3 linked regions of the Saccharomyces cerevisiae S288C genome follow. The gene in region 1 interacts genetically with each later gene. Each region holds a gene or a part of one and is shown on either strand. Other genes may lie near its edges. The genes, in order: BNI1, CYK3 and AIP5.

Region 1 (3,758 bases):
GAGCCTGGGGGCCTGGCATTATCTCCAGTGATAAAAATGAGGGCCGTTTTCTCGGATGGGTTTCCTCTTTGATTAATGCTGCATTTACGTACCAAGGTACTGAACTGGTTGGGATAACCGCTGGTGAAGCGGCTAACCCAAGAAAAGCTCTCCCGAGGGCAATAAAGAAAGTTGTAGTGAGGATTCTAGTCTTTTACATTCTTTCACTATTTTTCATTGGCCTTTTGGTCCCATATAATGACCCAAAGTTGGATAGTGACGGTATATTTGTCTCTTCATCGCCCTTTATGATAAGCATTGAGAATTCAGGCACAAAAGTTCTCCCAGATATATTTAACGCGGTCGTGCTAATCACCATTCTTTCCGCAGGTAACTCTAATGTGTACATTGGCTCAAGAGTACTGTATAGTCTGTCTAAAAATAGCTTGGCGCCAAGGTTCTTGTCTAACGTGACCAGAGGTGGTGTTCCATACTTTTCTGTTCTATCTACATCCGTGTTCGGATTTTTGGCTTTCTTAGAGGTTTCTGCAGGCAGCGGCAAGGCCTTTAACTGGTTATTGAACATAACTGGTGTGGCCGGTTTCTTTGCCTGGCTTTTGATTTCATTTTCTCATATCCGTTTCATGCAAGCCATAAGGAAACGTGGTATATCGAGGGATGACTTACCTTATAAAGCTCAAATGATGCCTTTTTTGGCATATTATGCATCTTTTTTCATCGCTCTAATTGTTCTGATCCAGGGCTTCACCGCTTTCGCACCTACTTTTCAGCCTATAGACTTTGTCGCTGCATATATATCAATATTCCTATTTTTGGCCATATGGTTATCATTCCAAGTTTGGTTTAAGTGCCGCTTACTCTGGAAGCTGCAGGATATCGATATCGATTCTGACCGCCGGCAAATAGAGGAGTTGGTATGGATAGAGCCAGAATGTAAAACAAGGTGGCAACGAGTTTGGGATGTCCTTTCATAATTTTAGAATAATACTCCATACCACACACACACATATATATGTATGTATGTATGTATGTATGTATATGTATATTTGCCAAATCCTTGCTCAACTCTTTTCCTGTGATTATATGATTACTCCCTAGTTGTTTCGTTGTTAGCCGCCGAAAGTCATCGCCCGTAATTTCCATGGCTTACCCGACATCGGTTAGAGGAAGTTTTTGACGTGGAAGAGGGAAAGAAAGAAAAAACAGATGTGGAAAACTAGAATCCCTTTTAAGAACAATAGCACGGACCCTTCCTACAGATAAGAGGACACTGACGGCTGTGTGTTAATTATTTTCGTATTAAGCATAAAATTGGACAGTGGCATTCTTTTCTTCACCCTTCACGTTTTTTATACGTCTCATACAGTTGGGCCATTTTTTACTTTTTTTTTTGCCATTTGTATCTATCTTCTGTATTGAGGAGAAACATTTTAACTCAAGCCTAGTTAAATTCTAAATACACGCCACATAAAGAAGGCACCTGAACCTTTTCAACAAACGAGAAGCAAGAAAGGAAGAGAAGGAAAGGAAATGTTGAAGAATTCAGGCTCCAAACATTCGAACTCAAAGGAAAGTCATTCGAATTCGAGTTCTGGTATATTCCAAAATTTGAAGCGTTTGGCTAACTCAAATGCAACGAATAGCAATACGGGTTCTCCGACCTATGCATCCCAACAACAGCACTCTCCAGTGGGAAACGAAGTGTCCACTTCACCTGCATCTTCGTCATCTTTTAGAAAACTGAATGCACCTTCTAGGTCTACATCTACTGAGGCGAGGCCGTTGAATAAAAAATCGACATTAAACACACAAAACTTGTCTCAATATATGAATGGTAAATTAAGTGGAGATGTTCCCGTATCCTCACAGCACGCAAGGTCGCATTCAATGCAATCGAAATATTCGTATTCCAAGAGGAATTCTTCACAGGCGTCCAATAAGCTAACAAGGCAGCATACCGGGCAAAGTCACTCCGCATCAAGTCTTCTCTCTCAAGGTTCGCTAACTAACTTGAGCAAATTCACTACACCCGATGGTAAAATTTATTTAGAAATGCCGTCGGACCCATACGAGGTGGAAGTTTTGTTTGAAGATATTATGTATAAAAGAAATATTTTTCAGTCTTTATCAGAGGACAAACAAGAAGCTCTGATGGGCTACAGCATTGAGAAGAAATGGCTGATTGTTAAGCAGGATTTACAAAATGAGCTAAAAAAAATGCGAGCAAACACTACATCTTCTTCCACTGCCTCCAGAACTTCGATGGCGTCGGACCATCATCCTATCCTTACGGCTAATTCATCTCTTTCGTCTCCCAAATCTGTTTTGATGACAAGCGCCTCTTCTCCCACCTCAACTGTATACAGCAACAGTTTAAATCATTCTACTACTCTTTCATCGGTAGGTACGTCAACCTCGAAGGGGAAAAAATTAGTGAGCGGGAGTTTGAAAAAGCAGCCATCTCTAAACAATATTTATAGAGGTGGGGCTGAGAACAATACGAGTGCATCTACTCTTCCAGGAGACAGAACAAACAGACCACCGATACATTATGTGCAACGAATCCTGGCAGACAAACTTACTAGCGATGAGATGAAAGATTTATGGGTAACTTTAAGAACTGAACAGTTAGACTGGGTAGACGCTTTTATAGACCATCAGGGTCACATTGCTATGGCTAATGTACTAATGAACTCTATTTATAAGACTGCACCCCGAGAAAACTTGACTAAAGAATTATTAGAGAAAGAAAATTCATTTTTTAAATGCTTCAGAGTCTTATCAATGCTCTCACAAGGTTTGTATGAGTTCAGTACACATAGGTTAATGACTGATACTGTTGCAGAAGGTTTATTCTCTACGAAACTGGCCACAAGGAAAATGGCCACTGAAATTTTTGTTTGTATGCTAGAAAAAAAAAATAAAAGCAGATTCGAAGCAGTTCTTACCTCACTAGATAAAAAGTTTAGGATAGGGCAAAATCTTCATATGATTCAAAACTTCAAAAAAATGCCCCAGTATTTCTCTCATTTAACCTTGGAAAGTCATTTGAAAATTATTCAAGCCTGGTTATTTGCCGTTGAACAAACTTTAGATGGAAGAGGAAAAATGGGTTCCTTAGTAGGCGCGTCGGATGAATTTAAAAATGGTGGGGGTGAAAATGCGATTCTAGAATACTGCCAATGGACAATGGTTTTTATCAATCATTTATGCTCTTGCTCTGATAACATAAATCAAAGAATGCTATTAAGGACGAAACTAGAAAATTGTGGAATTTTACGAATTATGAACAAAATAAAACTGCTAGATTACGACAAGGTAATTGACCAAATTGAGTTATATGACAATAATAAACTTGACGATTTTAACGTTAAATTAGAGGCCAACAATAAGGCTTTTAATGTAGATTTACACGATCCACTATCATTATTAAAAAACCTTTGGGATATATGTAAAGGTACCGAGAATGAAAAGCTTTTAGTATCTTTAGTTCAACATCTTTTCCTTTCTAGTTCAAAGTTAATAGAAGAAAACCAAAATTCCTCTAAACTTACTAAGCAATTGAAACTTATGGATTCTTTGGTGACTAATGTTAGTGTTGCCTCAACTTCTGATGAAGAAACTAATATGAATATGGCTATCCAGCGGCTTTACGATGCCATGCAGACTGATGAAGTTGCACGTCGAGCTATATTAGAAAGTAGAGCTCTAACGAAGAAATTGGAAGAAATTCAGGCAGAAAGGGATTCTTTAAGTGA
Region 2 (3,758 bases), on another chromosome or scaffold:
ACGTACTACTAAGCTTCAACGTCACTCTATAAAGAAACTAAAAAGACACGTATTTATACCTTTTTTGAAGAATGCGAGATTGCAATGAAATATGTGTCTATTTTTTACATGAATCTTTTGACCAACTCCTCATATATACCCCACGCAATACCTGCACTGAAGGCCTTTCTTGCCAGCCTCATGCTTAACCCGCTAAATAACTTCAGCACATTTTCATTTTTAACTATAGATGTAAATGTATTGAAGGAGTTGGTAAATTTTGATGGTTCCAATTGCATTCTCGTTTTTATGGTGTCGAACGGTGCCGTTACTGTGGTGGCTAAACTGGCGGATAGTACGGCGCTTGTTGTATTTACTGTTGTAGAGGTATAAGTAGTAAATCCTCCCTCAGGATTGTAATGTATAAACCTAGAAGGTAATACCATGGGCAGTAATTGTTTCGATTTTTCATATAGCAGCACATACAAACCTGCATAGGGAGCGTCTCTTAAACAAGTAGCTCCAAACCCTCTGAAAAATCCAAAAAGTCCTTCCTTAGTATATATATGGGTAATTGCCTCCTTTAAACTGGAGTAATTGTACAGAGTAGACTCATAACGGACTTTAATGACGGTGATAGGCATGGTTATATAACCTACCAAACCTCTTGCAAATGCACCTGTTAGTAAATTTTCATACATCGTTAATCGTGGTAAGCTACTGCTCTTGTTATATACAATGTTTGAATCGTTTGTTAATGAAGGCACAGCATTCCTCCTCTTTGCCAAAGATGAGCGCATAAGGTTCAAACATGATAAATATAAGGCGCTGCCTATTGATGTTCGTAATGCTGAAGGTAATGTACCTCTCCATAGCTGTAGAGGGCTGTCTATCTCTTTCAAATTTTTCCATAATGTAGCTTTCTTGTCTTGCTGGATTCTCGTCTTCAAAAGGTCTAAAGGTTGCAACGCAACAGCAGATGTTAGCCCACCGAAAAAGCCCCCGATCAAATGCGATGAATTTCTTGGCTTAGTTGCTTGCTCAGTCATGTATGCTGCTTCACAAATTGTGTACCTTCTAGTTGTTCCCGCTGTGCTATTTGCTTTTCTTTTGGTATAAGCTTATCCTTTTACTTCAATCACCCCCTCGTGAGAATTTAATGTGGAAGCAATATACTACTACACCGTTGACTTGGAGATTTTCAAGCTCAATTTTGCGTTCACTCAAATCTAAGTCATTTGAAACAAACACAACTTCTAAATATAGCAAGAGAAATAGGTCAATAACGCAGACACATATTTAACATTTAAGATACTGATAGATATTCAAAAGGAAACAGTCACCACAAGCGTTGGAGATTCAGCAAAACCCAAAAAGCAAGAAATTACAAAATCATTGTCTCGCTGATGAAACACCATCCTTTAGTGTTTGTATCCATTCAGCGTACCCTCTTGTTCTTGAGACTGGTGAATTTCGTAACTAGTTGAATATTGCAGGGTTTTCTTTTTCTAAATATGTATTAATGGTGGTGCCTGTCAGGGCGCGATAGAAGTGAAAAATTCTCGAATGGCTGGTTTGGTGGCCATTGAGCTGATCTGAAAAGGATGGTGAGATCAAGCTTGATATCTTGCATGCTTGGACCAACTATTTAAAATAAGTATTGAAAAAGGAGAATTTAGTTTCATTTACTCTCTACAATTGGATATTATACAGTTAAAACAAGAGAAAAGGCCAAAATTAACGGGACTCTGTTTGCATAACATATCTATAATATCAGTTTGATCTACTGCTGTTAAACTAATTTTTCTTTCTTCTGATTTCACTTCGTCCTTAATATTTTAACACATTAACTGTTTGCTATAAGCATACATTGCTTTTACCACTTTTTTTAATAATATCTTTTTATCCGTATTAATTACCGCATATAATTTTAGTTCGAAACATTAAAGGTCAGTCCCGAAGTTATAATTATAACATTTAATTCCTGAATTTACCGTATTACATTTAAATTTGCATAATGGCCACTAACTTAACATCTTTGAAGCCACCATTTAAGGTGAAGGCCAGGTATGGTTGGTCGGGCCAAACTAAAGGCGACTTAGGCTTTCTGGAGGGAGATATTATGGAAGTCACAAGGATTGCCGGTTCTTGGTTCTACGGCAAGTTATTGAGAAACAAAAAATGTTCTGGGTATTTTCCTCATAACTTCGTCATACTATTAGAGGAGAGATTAAATTCGAGCACTGAAAATGGTAGGCAACCTTCAAAAATAGTAGAAAGTTTTGAAAAATCAAATAAAGTTGTTATTCCACCAGTACCATCAAGGTATTCTGACGAGAGGCCAAGGCCTAAAAAGAAGCTATCTTCATCAATGCCCAATTCACCCAAGAAGCCGGTAGATTCTTTGACAAAGGCTAGAAAGGCAAAATCAAAAGAAATGGTAAATGAAAAAAATATCTATAATACCCAATCCTCTCGACATCATAATAACTCAGCTCCAAATTTACCTTTGGCTAGCCATAGTAAGCCTCAAGTACGAAATTTCGAGGAGTCCATGAACAATCCGTTACCACCTCTACCGCCACTACCAGATTTGGACAATATGAGAAAGACAGATAAAAGGGCACCAAAGAAATCATATTCTGCAAACGATTTACATATGGCACGTTCTTCAAGAGAATATAACTATTACAAAGACAACCAGAAATTCTATGATGGGTTTATCCCAGAAAAGAGATATTCTTTAGAAGAGGACTCTATTTCATCAGGCCTGTTTTCAAACTCTCAGTACTTAAATGATTCTGCTTGTAGTAGTGAGAACAGTTTTGCCTTAATGAGTGATTTTAGTGCCACGAGCGCGGGAAGTTTCGCCAGACATAAATATGCACAATCGTTTTCCGATTCATTGCAAAGATCACAGAATGCAAATGGCTGCTCTACAAAGATAAATGATTCACAGGAGTTTGGTGATTCCAATGCTAGTTCGAGAAATGGAAAAATGGGTGATATCCTTAGGAAAATAATTATTCCAAAGAGGAATACAAATATTTACTCCAGTTCAGTATCCTCACCAAAGTCACCAAAAGCATATCCTAAACTACCAGATATTCAGAATTTAAACTTGTCTGCAACACCCGATGAAGCTCGCGATTGGATTGCGGTAAAATGTCACTTGAACAGAGCAAGGACTCTTACCAAATATGACAAACATCCGAGGTATATGAGAGCTCTCGAAGAAAATCGCGACTTGATCTTACATCCTCAAGATTCGATTTATAACGGGCTAAATACCAATGAAGTCAAAGGTAATACAAAGCCCGGTTTGGTCGATGTGGAACTGGCCGAATTAAACATAGAATACATTGATAAGATGACTTGGAAACGGTGTATTAGAGACGGAACTATGACATTAGACAGTTGGGCTCAAACAACTTTTTCAGCAAGATACTCAACTGTTCTGGAAAAGTTAAGAGGCATATACATTTTTTGCACAGAGATGTTTGCTCTGACTGATGATAATGGAACGTCAGATTTTTCTGCGGAACCCCAAAATTTAGAGAAAATACTATACAGAAAGCATTGTACGCCATATGAATTGACATGGCTTTTCAAGAAATTAGCAAACTCATTGGGAATCACTTGTGAAATTGTTATAGGTTTCCTGAAAACACCGAGTGCTATAAATTGGGAGTTTAAGTATAACCACTGCTGGTTGAGAATACTGGTTAACAAAGAATGGAGATTTATTGACGTTATTTTAGGAAATGTAACCAACCCAA
Region 3 (3,758 bases), on another chromosome or scaffold:
GTCACCCACATTTGAAAGATCACAGGACTTCCTCAACATCGACGAACCGCCCTGTGCACAGGAAACACCTAGTGTTTCTACATTCAACCTCCCGGGTCCAAGCGCTCCCGCTCAAAGCGTAGACAAGCCAGTCCCCATGATTAGACGGCGGTCTACCAATTATATGGACGCACTAAATTCCAGGGAACAAGCCCGGGAACGCGAAAGCAGTATCGGGGAGCACGCCCCGGGAGCCGAACGTAGGAGTAGCGGACCCATGGATTTCCAGAATACTATCCACAATATGCAATACAGGACCACTAACGACTCTGACCTGAGCCACGCTGGCGTGGATATGGGTGACTCCATCTCCCATACACCGATCTGTTCTCGTGCTGGCAACAGACCCATTTTCAAAAACTCGTACCTTGACAACAACAGCAATGGTAACAGCGCAAGAGTCCCACACGGCTCTCCTCCACAGTTGGGCACGCGTAGAAAGTCGTCTTTTAAGTACGAGGACTTTAAGAAGGACATCTATAACCAGCTTCACATGTTTGGAGAGAAGTAAAGCCTCCCTAGTGTCGTCCACACCTACCCACTCATACATATGTACGTAACGTCAATCTCTTTAGCTTCTTTTCTACATTTTTTTGTATATGTACCAAAACGTTGCGCATATTCTTCACTCATTTGCTCCCGTGGCTCGGCGGCTATTTTTCTTTTCCTACGGAGCGGACTGTGGTGCTTACGTGATAACAAACAACCCGAGACAAGATCCAATCATTGTCTGACTGGTATTCCTGCCACCATATTAAAAGATAAGACGGTCGAAAGATAATACATAAAGATAGGTGGAAATTGAGATAAAACCAGTCCAAAAATTCTAGATATATCTAGATATAGAACCAATTTTTTTTTCCCTTGTTTTTGATATGTTCCTTCGCTATCCTATTACGTTATTCATTCTTGCATTTCTGATTCCCTAGACTTGTTGACCGCCTATCGCCATTTAAGTTACCTTCTTTATTATATATTACTATATAGTGTTGACATGAATATTGTCAATTATAACAGTTAATTCCTATTTCAACGGGCACAAGTTACAAAAAAACTTAATCTGTTTCAGATGTCATTTTTATTTAGTAAAACTTGAAACGTACAATAAAATGACAGCGATATCGTGTAGAACTATCAATTCATTTCAATGGATTTCTGTACCCTCACGAATAGTTTAGATTATGTTATATAGGCGTGGTGATAATGCGATACTTTTTTTATTGACATAGTATTCATGACAGTACCTCTGCACAAAATAAAGTGTTTTCCGCGATCCGTACCTAACGTTGCCGCATGTTCGGTGAGAATTGGGAGAATAATTTGATAATTACTGGAGTTTCATTGTTGGTAAAGGCTATAATATGATGAATACAGAATGTACTAAATCCTCTCATTTCAACATATACGACCTAATTTTTATGAAGCTCCCTCGTCTTATTTTGTTTTGAATACTTGCCGGTGGTAATCGCATCATTTTCAAATTTAATTTCAAAATTATATATTCTAACTCTCAACTCCTTTCAATCTTGAGGTGCCCGCTGTTGTAAACAAGACTTCAGACCTACTAAAAAGGTGGGGAGTGCTCAAGAACTCGGATGTAAACTAACTAATAAGTGCTTATTGAGAAAGATAAGAATACAGAGACAATTGTTGCCTCGTGGCGGGGCTATTTACAGGTATTTCTGGTTAATGTTGGAGCTGTTGTGACCTTATTAGAACACGAACACTTCCAAGAAATAAGCGCAAGTGGTTTAGTGGTAAAATCCAACGTTGCCATCGTTGGGCCCCCGGTTCGATTCCGGGCTTGCGCAGTCCTTTTTTTAAGGATAAATTTATCCTAAAGCTTCCGAGAATATAACAGACAAGATGAAAATATTTGTTAAGTTTCTGAACACGAAATTGTCGTATATTTTCCCTTAATATTTCGTAGTCACTTCGCATATAAGCAAGTGGTTTTATTCCAGAACACTTTCTCTTTTTAAACCTGTTAGCAATTATTGTACTGGTGTGCTTGATTACTCTGGATTAAATAAAGAGTGACATGGTAGAATCTTTGACTGTAGAAAATCAGGAACACAATGTTCAACCCCCATCGGTAACTAGTGCTGGAGATTCGTATTCGACACTTGCTACAGATCTTCCCTTACCAAGTACGAATGATATTATAGAAAGTCGAGATCAACTTACAGAAAGTGACTTAGATGAAGCGATAAATGCCACTGAGAATTTTGCACAGGAATTATCATCTCAAAGGAAATCTTCTAAATTGAAAGGTCATAAAAAGAAAAACCAGGGACAAATAAAGGCGAATCGTGACAGAGATACTATTGTAAAACTTTCCAGTTCTGTTGGTGAAACCGAGGAAGCTTCCACACGGGATGCAATCTCTCATGATTTGGAAAGAAAAGACGACGTAATAGAGATAGCCACAGATACAATAAATGACGCTACAGAATCTCCCACACAGATCCCAATAGACGTCAATGTAGTTATCAAAGAAACTTCTACTAACAATGTAGCGGAAGGCACAGAAAATGTACCACCAATCAAAGAATCCACAGGAATTGAGGTTGGCAATAGCCCAATTACGAGAAGAAAAAAAAACAAAAAGAAAAAAACCACGAATAGAAGAGGTCGTAATTCTTCAAATCCTGCAGATACTACTGATTTGTCAAAACAGTCAACTTTAGATTCCATACTAGTAGGCATTGAAGAGTACCTACAGGAAGATGGTTCAAAGAACGAGGATATCAAAGTAAATATTGTCCAAGATGAGCCTGTTAATGTCGAAAAAATGGATATCAGAACCAGAAATGAATCTAGTGACAAAACCTTCGACATAGATGTGCCTAACAAAGATAATGTTGACGAAACTTCCTCAAAGTCCGAGAACAATATCAACGAGGAAAAGGCAGAACATACCTTACCTCGAGAAGAGAATGAGATCTTAAATGTTAATGAGGGAAATGCAGCTTCTTTTAAACACCAACTAGAGCCGCACGGTTTGGAGGCAGGTGATGAAAATGGGCAAGCGTCTACTAAGGATGTTGAAAGTGAAAGTTTAACTAAGAATGGGTTTAATTTCAAAGAGAACGAATCAAAACATTTGAAAGCTGGGGAAAAGCAGCAGACTGAAAGTGATAGAGACGGAATAAGTCCTTCAGTTCTTGCAAAAAATCAGAAAGAAACAGAAATCGGGAAAGAAGACCATGTTTTTGAACAGAAGGATAAAGAAGACGAAAAATGTAGGAAAGAATTATCTGTTAATCATGAGAATAACATGAGCCATAATTTTAACGCAGCTGGTAGTGATAGTATCATCCCTCCAGAAACTGAGCGAGAGACTTATGATGACGAAACGATGGGACCAACAAAGCGCATTAGTGACAATGAAAAAAATCTACAACACGGTACTAACGATATATCTGTAGAAGTTGAAAAAGAAGAAGAAGAAGAAGAAGAAGAAGAAGAAAATTCGACTTTTTCAAAAGTTAAAAAAGAAAATGTAACCGGGGAGCAAGAAGCTGTAAGAAATAATGAAGTGTCCGGTACCGAAGAAGAATCTACATCAAAAGGAGAGGAAATTATGGGGGGAGATGAAAAGCAGTCAGAAGCGGGAGAAAAATCTTCCATTATTGAAATAGAGGGAAGCGCAAACTCTGCAAAAATTTCTAAAGATAACCTTGTTCTTGAAGATGAAGCTGAAGCACCTACTCAGG

What was found.
Region 2: mutations in BNI1 (region 1) and CYK3 are lethal when combined (synthetic lethality), as found in Saccharomyces cerevisiae (6 studies listed by BioGRID, with this or other methods).
Region 3: mutations in BNI1 (region 1) and AIP5 together harm fitness more than expected from each alone (negative genetic interaction), as found in Saccharomyces cerevisiae (5 studies listed by BioGRID, with this or other methods).

Annotation. Positions count from the first base shown.
Region 1 is NC_001146.8:133,156-136,913, reverse strand, and holds the start of BNI1 (formin BNI1), read left to right. Parts: upstream 1-1,530; coding exon 1,531-3,758. Other genes in the region: arginine permease ALP1, read left to right, coding at 1-974. UniProt on the Saccharomyces cerevisiae protein: Required for the assembly of F-actin structures, such as actin cables and stress fibers. Nucleates actin filaments. Binds to the barbed end of the actin filament and acts as a leaky capper, slowing both polymerization and depolymerization.
Region 2 is NC_001136.10:246,585-250,342, forward strand, and holds the start of CYK3 (Cyk3p), read left to right. Parts: upstream 1-1,996; coding exon 1,997-3,758. Other genes in the region: HEM25 (Hem25p), read right to left, coding at 105-1,028. UniProt on the Saccharomyces cerevisiae protein: Involved in cytokinesis by recruiting INN1 to the bud neck. Cooperates with INN1 to stimulate the synthesis of the primary septum (PS) by CHS2.
Region 3 is NC_001138.5:179,066-182,823, reverse strand, and holds the start of AIP5 (Aip5p), read left to right. Parts: upstream 1-2,080; coding exon 2,081-3,758. Other genes in the region: IGD1 (Igd1p), read left to right, coding at 1-550.